Nothobranchius furzeri: one gene and its partner. The protein of the gene in region 2 interacts with the protein of the main gene of each other region in a pairwise test. Links are inferred from orthologs where the notes say so. Each region holds a gene or a part of one and is shown on either strand. Other genes may lie near its edges.

Region 1 (4,875 bases), on a different chromosome or scaffold from region 2:
GGATTCATTCCGGATTTGTTGTGAGACGCAGCTCCAAACAAGGAGGGAGAAGGGTTTGAAGGTGGCCTGGGATCCTCTGATCTCTCCTGTCTCTGGAAGCTGGTTGCTTCTTTTCTACTTGGCGTGGCTGTGAGAGAAGTTTCTCGTGTCTTTAGTAGTTCTTTGTTCCCCAGCTCCTCCCTGACAGCCTCAGATAAAGATAATGGTGCTACGGGGGCGGGAGATCACAAGGAACAATGTCTTTCATCAAAACGCTAAATAAATAGAGGGTGGCTTTTCAGAAAAAAAAGAAAAGTAAAGAAGAAAGAAACCCCGGCACTGCTACATGAATTTAACCCTCTCCCCTTCGCGGCTTTCCCCCTCGTCGTTCCGTCAGCTGACAGCGGCTCCTGTGCGCTCCCAGCATGCACACGCATTAACCCCCCCCCCCCCAGACCCAATAGACCAAATAAGAGGTTAACAAGAAGTGGCACAAGGGAGAGAAAAATACAGCTCCTGACAGATGATGAGAGTGGCAGTGGCAGGCCTTTATTGTCGAGCTTCACATATAAAGTTAAAGATCTTTGAAAAACTAAATTTTGATGTCTTTAAAATAAAAGAGGCACAAAGCAACAACAGGGGGTTATTGTCTGGCAGCCACAGGGGAGTCGCTGCATCATTCTTATTCTGTCTTTTGATGGCTGCTGGAAAGTGAAAAGGAGAGCGCGCGACGGGGAGAGAGAGAGAGAGAGAGAACTGCAGCAGAAGGGGAGAGCCTCTTGAGGCTGCATCTACTTCCTGTGATCATACATAATGTGCTTAAAAAGTACCTTTTCTGCCTCTTTTATTCTCATGCAACTGATCAATGCCCCCCCGCCCCCACCCCGTCTGCATCAGATGCGACTCGGTGACAGGCCCTATCTGAGGCAGAGGAGCTCTGCTGTCACGTTGATTTATGGGAGCATCACGCCACAACTTGTCCAAGCTGAAGCCCGCGCTTCATTAATTAGGGAGCTCTAACTTTGAAGTTGTGCGTTTGGACCGTGTGCGTGAGCGGAGGGGCGCGTGCGCCTGCTTTTAACGTTCAGCTTAATTTCCCCGTGCCCTTCTTTACTCTCCAAACATGGAACTCAACGGGGACGGGAGCAAAAAAAAATCCACAGCGAGTCTTTGAACTTGTCCTGGCCGTGCAGTAGCGATTTGCTTTGTCCGCAGCGACGCCTGTATCCGCCCGTCATTAACACGCATTAAGCCGCCGCCTATGAGCGAGCCCCGCTGTGCTGCGGGGAGCCGAGCAGGAAAAATCAAGACGGAAAGAGAGGCGGGCAACAAAGCTGGGAGTGCTCTCTGCGCTGATATCTCACAATTACACGCCTCGGTTTCCTCTGCTACTTCCATGTTAATCACCAAGAAAAGCCTCTCAGACTCGTGCGCCGGTGTCTTTGCCGCCTCCTCTCCGACGTTCTGCTCTTCATTACCAAAAACACATCACGCGGTAAACATGGCAGAAACATTACGGTCTTCTTTATAGAGTGGTATCAGTCAGTAGCTAACATTTAGCCAGCAGGTCTGACATGCTAATCAGAAACACGAGTGCACTTGATCACCCCCTCACCATCCCACCCCACCCCAGCCCGTGCTTTAACCACAGCCTGAAAGCAGATGGAGCTGAGGGAGGGAGCGCGCCGAGTCTGGCCGACGTTGGCGGTGGGAGTGATGTCAGCCTACCTCTTTACTCTGCTTGCTGCCTGCATGCTGCTGCTGCTGCTGGAGGAGCTGGAGGTGGAGCGTTTCCTGCTGCTTCTTGTAGAACTCTTGAAGTTGCTGCTGCAGAAGAGACAAGAAGGTGACAAATGAGTTGGGAGTTTGACAGTGGCAGATCCTCGGCAGCCATGTGTGTGGGAACTTCTCCGAGGCTTAGAAACCTCAGAACGGCAGTTCAAAGTACTTTCATCCCGGAGGATTTGCAGAGCGTTTGAAACGTGATATTCACCTCTGGAAAAAGCGTAAGCGCGCTGACGGCGCGACTGCTGCACGTTACCTGCTGTAACATGAGGGCCTGCTGCTGCTGGAGGAGAACCTGGAGCTGCTGAGGGCTCAGGACCTGCTGCTGGAGGATCTGCTGCATTTGCTGTGGAGTTATCACCTGCGGTGTCATCATAGCCACTGACACTGGAACCTGGTCCAAACACAGGTTTCGCAGCGTTAGGCAGACACCGTCAAGATTTATTAACAGAAACAAAACTTTAGTTTTCTGAAAGCTTAAACGTTGTAAAAAATAAGTTTAGTAAATTAAATTCATCAGGAGTAAACAATATAATCTCTAATTCTATTAACTAAACAGTAAACACACAGAGAGACACAGAACTGAGAGAAAATATGCAAATCAGACTGAACTAGAAACAATTTCCGCCATTAGAGCAGATTTTACATGAATGTTGTGAAATTGTTCTTCTCACTATTTAGTCTCTCAGAATGATCCGACGCATCAGGAACCAGACGCCTGCAACGACCGCTCGCACAGACGCGAGGAGAGGAAAACTCCTGCTAAACATTTTGGAAACGCTCTTGAGAGTCTCCCAGTGAGACTCCGGCTGAGGCGACTGGATCCCCTCTACGAGACCCAGACCAGTGGATGAACCGGAAACACCTAAACCTCCAGACTCGCTGCTAACGTCCCTCCCATCCTGTTGTTGGTATGGAACGTGTCAAACCTGAGGACATGGCTACACGTAGGTCCTGTAAGAACATCTCATTAGAGATGCTGTCAGCAGCGATCTGCTGTTGTGAGGATCTAGAGAGAGCCCGAGGAGGAGGAGTCAGGCTGAAGAACACACAGGCCTCTAACTAACTCTCGCAGAAAGGTGTGAGTGCACGGCTCCTCCGAACGACTGATTTGTGGTGACACTGAGAGGGGCCCGTAGTTGTCAGTGTGCTTTAATTGCTCCGGCGACGCGCGGGAGTCGCTGCGTCTGGATGCTGCCACTAAAAGCTGCTTTCCTCGGCGTTTGTGTGACAAACTGCAACTTTTAGACGCTGCTGGTTACTTGTTGTGTCAATGAATCTGTGCAGTAACAAAAACACACATCAGAGAGGACATAAATGAGTATAAAGTGTGTGTGTGTGTGGGCTGTCACACGCTGATAGAGGAGACATAACGTGACAGCTCATCTTCAACAACTATACGACCATTTCAGAGCTAATGACAGCATTTGAGTTTTTCATGCATTTCTGAATGTAATTTAGCGGTTTAAGACACCCCCCCCCACACACACACACACACACAGACACACACCCGCACACACACACACACACACACACACACACACACACACACACACACACACACACACACACACACACACCCTTCATGCACATAACCTTAGTCATTTTTCCGCTGCAGCATTAAACAAAATCAAAGCTCGGCTGTAACGAGCAGCTCGTAGTGAACGGGCAGGACTACCGAGCAGGACGGAGCAGCTTTGATGCTCTCCTTTAACTTCACTTTCAACCACAGGAGAACGAAGGAGGCTCAGGACTCAGGACCGGCTCCACGTTTCTCATTTCCAGCACCAAGGGGAAGGGGCGCGGGGAGCAGAACGCAATACTAATTACCTCTTGTGTTAATACGCGGCTCATCTTTGCTTTTGCACTGACGCGTCCTGTCGTTTGCAAAGCCCCGGCCTCCCGTCCCCATCTCTAAAGGCTCTTAAAAATGATTTTATTTGACAGGAATCACTAATTTTGATGAACTATTCTGAAGGTCGTCCTTGTGCTGGCGCATATAGTCCACATCTAAACATACCGTGCACAGAGAAGATAAATAATACCTGTGGGAGTCCTTTAGTGCACGTTTGAATCCACGGCGTCTATTTTCTGCTGCCCTGTAAATGCTCTGCATTCGTCTCACTTTGCAGCTTACGATCTCTGTTTTTACCACACAGCGCAGGAGAGCAAACTTTTATTTAACACGCTGGTTTAGATCCTAACAGAGGATCAATAGGTTAGACTTTTTCACTAGACGATGCATCCCATCAGGGTTTTACACGGTGTCCAGTCAGGAGCATCTGGCGCTCTGTAACTACAGCAAGAGCCTATTACAGACCCTCCTTTTATTACCCATTACTACTGAGGTCATTAGCTGCAAGAGGGATTGTGTGCTTCTTCACCTATTGATCAGTGTAACTACTACATTTAATCCTGGGCAGGAGGAGTGAAAATCTGACTAAAACAGGCTCCTGTTGAGTGGAGGGGCGGGAGGAGCACCGTAACTGAAAAATATTACTCGGCCGCCGTATCGCACTAATTTAACGCTAACACAGGACCGCCTGTCGCCATTTAGAGCACTCCCGTATGATGCCCCGCCGTATCTCCTGGATAACATCCTGACTCCAGACGATCCACAGGAATACATCACCATCTAAAAATAGTCTGAAACGGGACTCGGAGCGGGCTAATAACTGGAGGGATCCACTAAGCTCAGCTCTAATTTGCTCTCCTGATGTGAGGGTGTGAAAAAGAGGACATTGTGAGGATGCCAGAAATAGCTGACGTTTATGAATTTCATGAAGGTGTGGTGCTCTCCAGGTGCCTTCGCGTACATAAACATCCAAACCTGGAACGTTCTCACACAGCTGCAGCGTGACTGCAGGCAAAATCCTGTACCAGCACAGGCCTGCTGGCCGAACACACACACACACACACACACACACACACACACACACACACACACACACACACACACACACACACACTAAACTGTAGCATGTCAGAAGTCACAGCCCGTACCGTGCTGCAGACATGGAGCTAAATCATTTTATACTCGGATTATTAAATAAATTTAAAACTTTTTTTAATTATTTCTACTTAAAACAACAATAATCCCAGATTAAATCC
Region 2 (5,659 bases):
TGTGAGTGTTCAGTTAAACAATGTTGATTTTATATTTCATCATCAGGTTGACGCAGTGATAGCTTGCTCCTGTTGTATTGTTGTGTGTTGTTGTTCTCTTTCTGCAGGTCTAGAAGCAGACTCTTGTTCATCATTGATTGTTTATTTTTGTGGAACCTCCCCCTCCTATTTTATCACTGCTATTGTTTTTCAGATGTTTTTATTGGTTAGAGGTATTTGCCCTGATCTTTATCATGTTGTACAGCGCTTTGTGATTTATATCTGTGAAAGGCGCTATATAAATAAACTTTTACTTACTTACTTACTTACCTTTGTCTCTTCCTTTCTCTTTCACCTCTGTCTCCGTGTCTGGTCGGAATTAAAAAGCATTCAAAAACAACAACAATAAAGTTTTAAGTATCAGGCATGACATTAAAGCAGACACTTTGATGCTCCACCTGAGAGTAAATCCATAAGGCTTGTCACCAGCATTCAGACATAAATTCTGTTTGCTTGACAGCCAGAAAGGACACGGGGGAAAAAAAACGTAGACAAGGCTTGCCTCATCAGTGTGCCACCCATGACAGCGGTGGTGTGATGACACCCATGACTAGGAGAAAGCGATAATGAAAAATGTCCTGACTTATCGGGGCTGCAACTTCCAAGGTCCTGCAGGTGATGAGACTTTACTCTTTTAATAAAACTTTTCTTATTTTGTTTCATAAAACGCTTTCCCAACTTTACAAGTTATTTACAAAAATATTCTGTTCATCTAAAGTGTTTTAATAATGCCTGACTGGTTTACAGTGATGACTGACTCAACATAATTGTTTATTCTGGAAATAATGCTTTATTTCAGATACTAAATACACCCAATGAGTCTTATTTGTTGAATTTAATAACGACTTATTATCAGTATTCACATATTAATATTACTCTATATTGATAAATGAATGTTTAACAGAGTTACATCACTTTAGGTGGAATGAGCATCTTCTAAGTGTTTGAGGAAGGAGAGGTGTCTGAGAGATTCTGATAACGCCCACTATTACACGTTCTAGATTCTGGTTTGTCTAAATTGGTAAACAACCAATTTTATAAAAAAAGGCATCACTTCCTCAATGCTTTAGTTCTAGCCCACGGGCTGGTTAAGCCAACTGGGTCAGTAGCATAAGGAACCATCCTTTTCTCCAGCAGAGAGACAACTCATCAGATGTGAAACATCTCGCCAGCAGACCTGGGATGCATCTCACTGGCCAGTCGTGCAAATTCAAAGGAAGCTATGACCTTTGAGATTCCAGAAGTCAACTCATCTTGGCACTTGGCCCGACTCGACTTCCTTGCCAGCTGGACCTAACGAGAATTTCCATTACAAGGGAAATCGTTGTCTCACACCTGGCAGTAGGATGTATTTTTTATTATTAATTTGACAACTTGTTAAACTTCATTAAACATTCGTTCAGACTTATTTTACAACCCAGGCATCACAGTTTTCTAAGACACTTAATTGTTTTTTTTAACACACCATCTAAACTCATATTTCATCATTGGTCATTCTGTGTCTCAGTTGATATCACCTCAACTCATGAAGTAGTAGAAGTACAATATTAAATACATTTTTATAAACTATATTTTCACCTCTGAGTCAAATTATTATAAAGTGTTGTTTCCCTGGCTTAGCTAAATTACCTAATTTCATCATCAATTGAATATTAATGGCTCAATAATATTGATAATCCACATTTTTATTGAATGTTACATTTGATTGAATATTGACAATTTTTTTAAAAGTAACCACTTACACAACATTATATCATCTTTCAGACAAAACATATAAAGCCGTGGACAAATTATGCTATTTGCAAGACCGAAAAAACTGAAATTATACAAATAAATAACATAAAATAATACATTTTAAGCAAAAGAACAGCTTTTCTAAGTAAATTACTACCCACCTCTGCATTCAACTGCCCTCCATGTTTGGGAGATGGCAACTTCATATAGCCCATAAACGAACATTCTGTAGGGTCACTTACACAACTGTTTTACTTGCCTTTATGAAAATGCTGCAAGCAAACACGCATGAGAGGAGATGCGGTTTCGAAAGTTATGTCCTTCCATCCAAGAGCTGGAATTCAGGCGTCTCTTTGTTATTCTCCTATTTTGTGTCCAGAACCTCTTTTCCAAGCAGGAAAGCAAAAGAGTCTTGTGTCGTTTCTTGTAATTGTGTGACCTGGCGTGGCAGCCCTTCACACAAGTGTACCATTTTCTGCAGGTTTATAAGCTCGCAACACATAAAGCAACCAACGCTTCTGTTGTTTATCTACTTAGCTATCCCATCATGCAACAGCACCTGATATGTCATCTGTCAAAGACAGATGGCTCATTCTGGAGGCTACTGAAACTGTCAAGAATAAAACTGATGAAATGCGAGAGGCATTTTGTCTAAATAAATTCATAAACATGTTGGGTATTGGAAATATAACTATTTTAAATTTTAAGTCATAATATGTCCCCTTTAAAGGACAAACCAAAGAGGATAGTTCACATTTAGATATCTGAAACGGTGAAGCGTCAGTGCTCAACTTTATAGACGATCTTTGGACGGCAAGCCGAGAGTTGCGTTGTGTGCGCATGCGCACAAGGGGATTAATGTCAAGGCACAAAAGTGGCGCTACAACGCTTCGAGCTCTACTCCGGTAAGCGAATTTCACAGTCGGTTTTTATCCTCCACGTTCACGCTTAATTGGTCAAAGTTTGGGAAACTTGAGCGGGACACAGGCCCGGATTCCCGGTCCGCCCCTCCGCAGCCACAGCCGGCAGAGGAGCGACACTAAGGAATCATTAAAGAGTTGATTTTAACAGCTTTCGTCTCCTGCTCCGCTCGCTGTGGCCGTTGCCGCCTCCAGTCTCCAGTATTGTTCCGTTGGTTCCCTAATGGCGGACGGCAGGCAGTGCTGTTTTCCGCTGGGGGAGGTGGGAGGTGTGTGGAGAGGGTGGGAGGGAGGGGGCAGATTTTATCTCCCGTTGACTAATGAGGTACACCTGGTTTACCGAGACAGACACAAACACCGGGGCAGGTACGACGCCGGGATTAATTGGGCTATCGCTGTTTACCAGCTCAGGGCACAAATTAAGGCATTTCATGTAAGGGAAGGGCGCCCCTAGCGGTGGTCGGGTATTTTTGCCACTGATTGCGCCAGGAGTGGACTACGTGCCGGGTAACTTTCCAATTAAAACCCCAGCTTCACAGGTATCAAATATTCTGGTGCACTGGGTCATATTCAGGGTCTGTTTTAATTGGGCTTGCTTGTTTGCAACTAGACCCAGGAGGAGCAAACGTTATGGGCTGTAGAGTCTGAAACGCAGCCATAGGTAGGGAGTTGAGTTGAGAGTCACATTGTGTCATGTGTAGCATTTACCTCTAACATAATCGGTTTGAAGAAGTGCTGATCGTTTTGGGAGGCGTTTTAACAATGGCGCAGTCTGTGTCGGCTCTCCTCCCCTCGATCCGCCGCTAATCCAATGACTGTTTGCGCCAGGAAGAGCAGGGGTGGGAGCGGAACACCCTGAACCACGTTTCTCCTGGACCCCAACTTGGAAGCTAGCATTTCCTCCTCCCAGGGCTATTTATGGCAGAGTTTCCCTGCTCAGGTAGTTGTTTTTCTTGCCATTGGTCAAAGTTTTGTGCTCGCGCTCATCTCTGGATTCAAGGTGTGTTAAGGGGGGAGAGAGGAGAGATTATTTCTTGTGTCTGGAGCGGATTCTGTGGTCTATCTGAACAGTGGTAGCAATCAAGGACACGGCCCGGCTGTCCTCTGAACGCATCACGGTGCCTTCGAGGTTTGGAGGATTTTTGGGGACAGCTCATCAACTGAGCAGAGCAGGGTTTAGTTTTACCATTCTGCTGCCAGGTAACCAGAGCAGGTTTTCCTCCAGCCCATCAGTGGGTTTTGGGAGGATGTTCTGGTGGCTGCGCACCATATTCTCAGTGACATAATACTTATATAATAATCTCACGCTTTTAATTTGAATTCGGTGTCTGATCTCCACCACCGACGCTACAGCTGCAGACCTCCGCCATGTGACCTGCCGGAGGAAACGTCAGCTGAGCTGAAGGTATAGCCTGGTGGTGGTGGGAAGGTGGTGGAGCACCTACATCCGAGGTGATGTGGCGCAGGCGCTGATGAGGAGTTTGATGCAGGGAGGCGGTCCCTCCGTCCACAGCGCCAGCCTACCTTTGCGTCCACCTGGTGTTGACGTTGGGGGCAAGGTTGCATGTCAGAGCTCATTACTGCTGGATGCTCGTTTCCTCTCATCTGCTCGAATGCAGGCTGTCTCACATCTCTGCAATGCAGTCTGTTTATTCCCCTCATAGCACGCTGCTTTACTCCTCTGTTGATGTGCAAGCAGGCCAGCACGCTGTGATGCATCATGTTTTTGCAGCAAATGTTGCAACTGACCGTATTATACCACCAGTTGCCATGGCAGTTGCACACAGATGTGTTTCACCTTCACAGGTGTGGTCTGACACTGCAGTCATTGGAGAATGAGGTGGACTTCCAGCCCAGAAACGACGTCCTGGTTTAGTGTTTTTGCTGCTGCTTCCTGTCACATGACCAGAGTCGTCTTCATTCAGCATCAGTGTTTTTAAAGCTGATTCTGATCAAGAACAGTCACAATCTTTTCTGTGGGCTTAAAACTCTATATTCTTTTGTCCCTTTGTTCCACTTATTGGTTTCTCACAGAACATGTGAGCATACATTCTCATTTCTAGATTTTAATGGCAGTATACAAAGTCGTTTCCTGGTTTAAACATGTTTAAAAAACAGTTTTGACAGATTTGCTCTTCCTAATGTTGTGGAGGTCATGTTTGACCCATCTTGCACTTTTTAAATTCAGTAAGTTTGAGTCAAAGTGGGAGAAATGGGAGACAACGCTGGCAGTGGTTGGTGACCAAGATGTTAATGAAAAAGAGAGTAACCAGCTGAATCTCAGATATTTTGAACAATCTGTTGCTAACTGGCAAAAAAGTTTTGCATCCCATTTTCTATTTCTTTTGTGAATGAGCAATTCCCTCTCACAGCCATATTTATCTCATAAGCAGCAGTGGCAATTATAATTACCCTGGATTTACAGAATACCAAATAACAGTTTTTCTTAATTTATGGTTATTTTTGTTAAAACAATTTGTGTGTTTGTGAAGATTTTCCTAATATTTGTCTAACATGGACACACTGTGAAATGAAAGATTAATTCCAAGGACATACAGATATTAGGGGGCAGCAGTAGCTCAGGTGGTAGAGCGGGTTGCCTCATGATCGGTCATGGGTTCGATTCCAGCTCCCGCCAGGGGTATCCTGCTGTTGTGTCCTTGGGCAAGACACTCCACCCAACTTGCCTGTGTTAGTGGTGGTCAGAGGGGCCGACGGCGCCAAATGGCAGCCTCGCCCCTGTCAGACCTCCCCAGGGCGGCTGTGGCTACAAGTAGCTTACCATCACTAGCAGTGTGTGAATGTGAGAGTGTGTGAAAGCGTCTTTGGGTGTCTAGAAAAGCGCTATATAAGTTCAATGCATTATTATTATTATTGTTATTATTATTATACATAATAGTTTAAATTGTGTGGCAGTAAATGGACAGATATGAGCTTCAGACCTGCATCCTTGGATGTTTTGGAAC

Evidence for each region.
Region 1: the proteins of zmym2 (region 2) and foxp1b come close enough for resonance energy transfer, tested with the Homo sapiens proteins (2 studies listed by BioGRID). The link is inferred for Nothobranchius furzeri from reciprocal best matches to the Homo sapiens genes ZMYM2 and FOXP1.

What each region holds. Positions count from the first base shown.
Region 1 is NC_091743.1:44,404,284-44,409,158, reverse strand, and holds part of foxp1b (forkhead box protein P1-B), read right to left. Parts: intron 2,159-4,875; coding exon 1,973-2,158; intron 1,807-1,972; coding exon 1,708-1,806; intron 1-1,707. UniProt on the Homo sapiens protein: Transcriptional repressor. Can act with CTBP1 to synergistically repress transcription but CTPBP1 is not essential. Plays an important role in the specification and differentiation of lung epithelium.
Region 2 is NC_091754.1:33,051,523-33,057,181, forward strand, and holds the start of zmym2 (zinc finger MYM-type protein 2), read left to right. Parts: upstream 1-2,241; 5' UTR 2,242-2,678; intron 2,679-3,006; exon of another isoform or gene 3,007-3,232; intron 3,233-3,242; exon of another isoform or gene 3,243-3,633; intron 3,634-5,659. UniProt on the Homo sapiens protein: Involved in the negative regulation of transcription.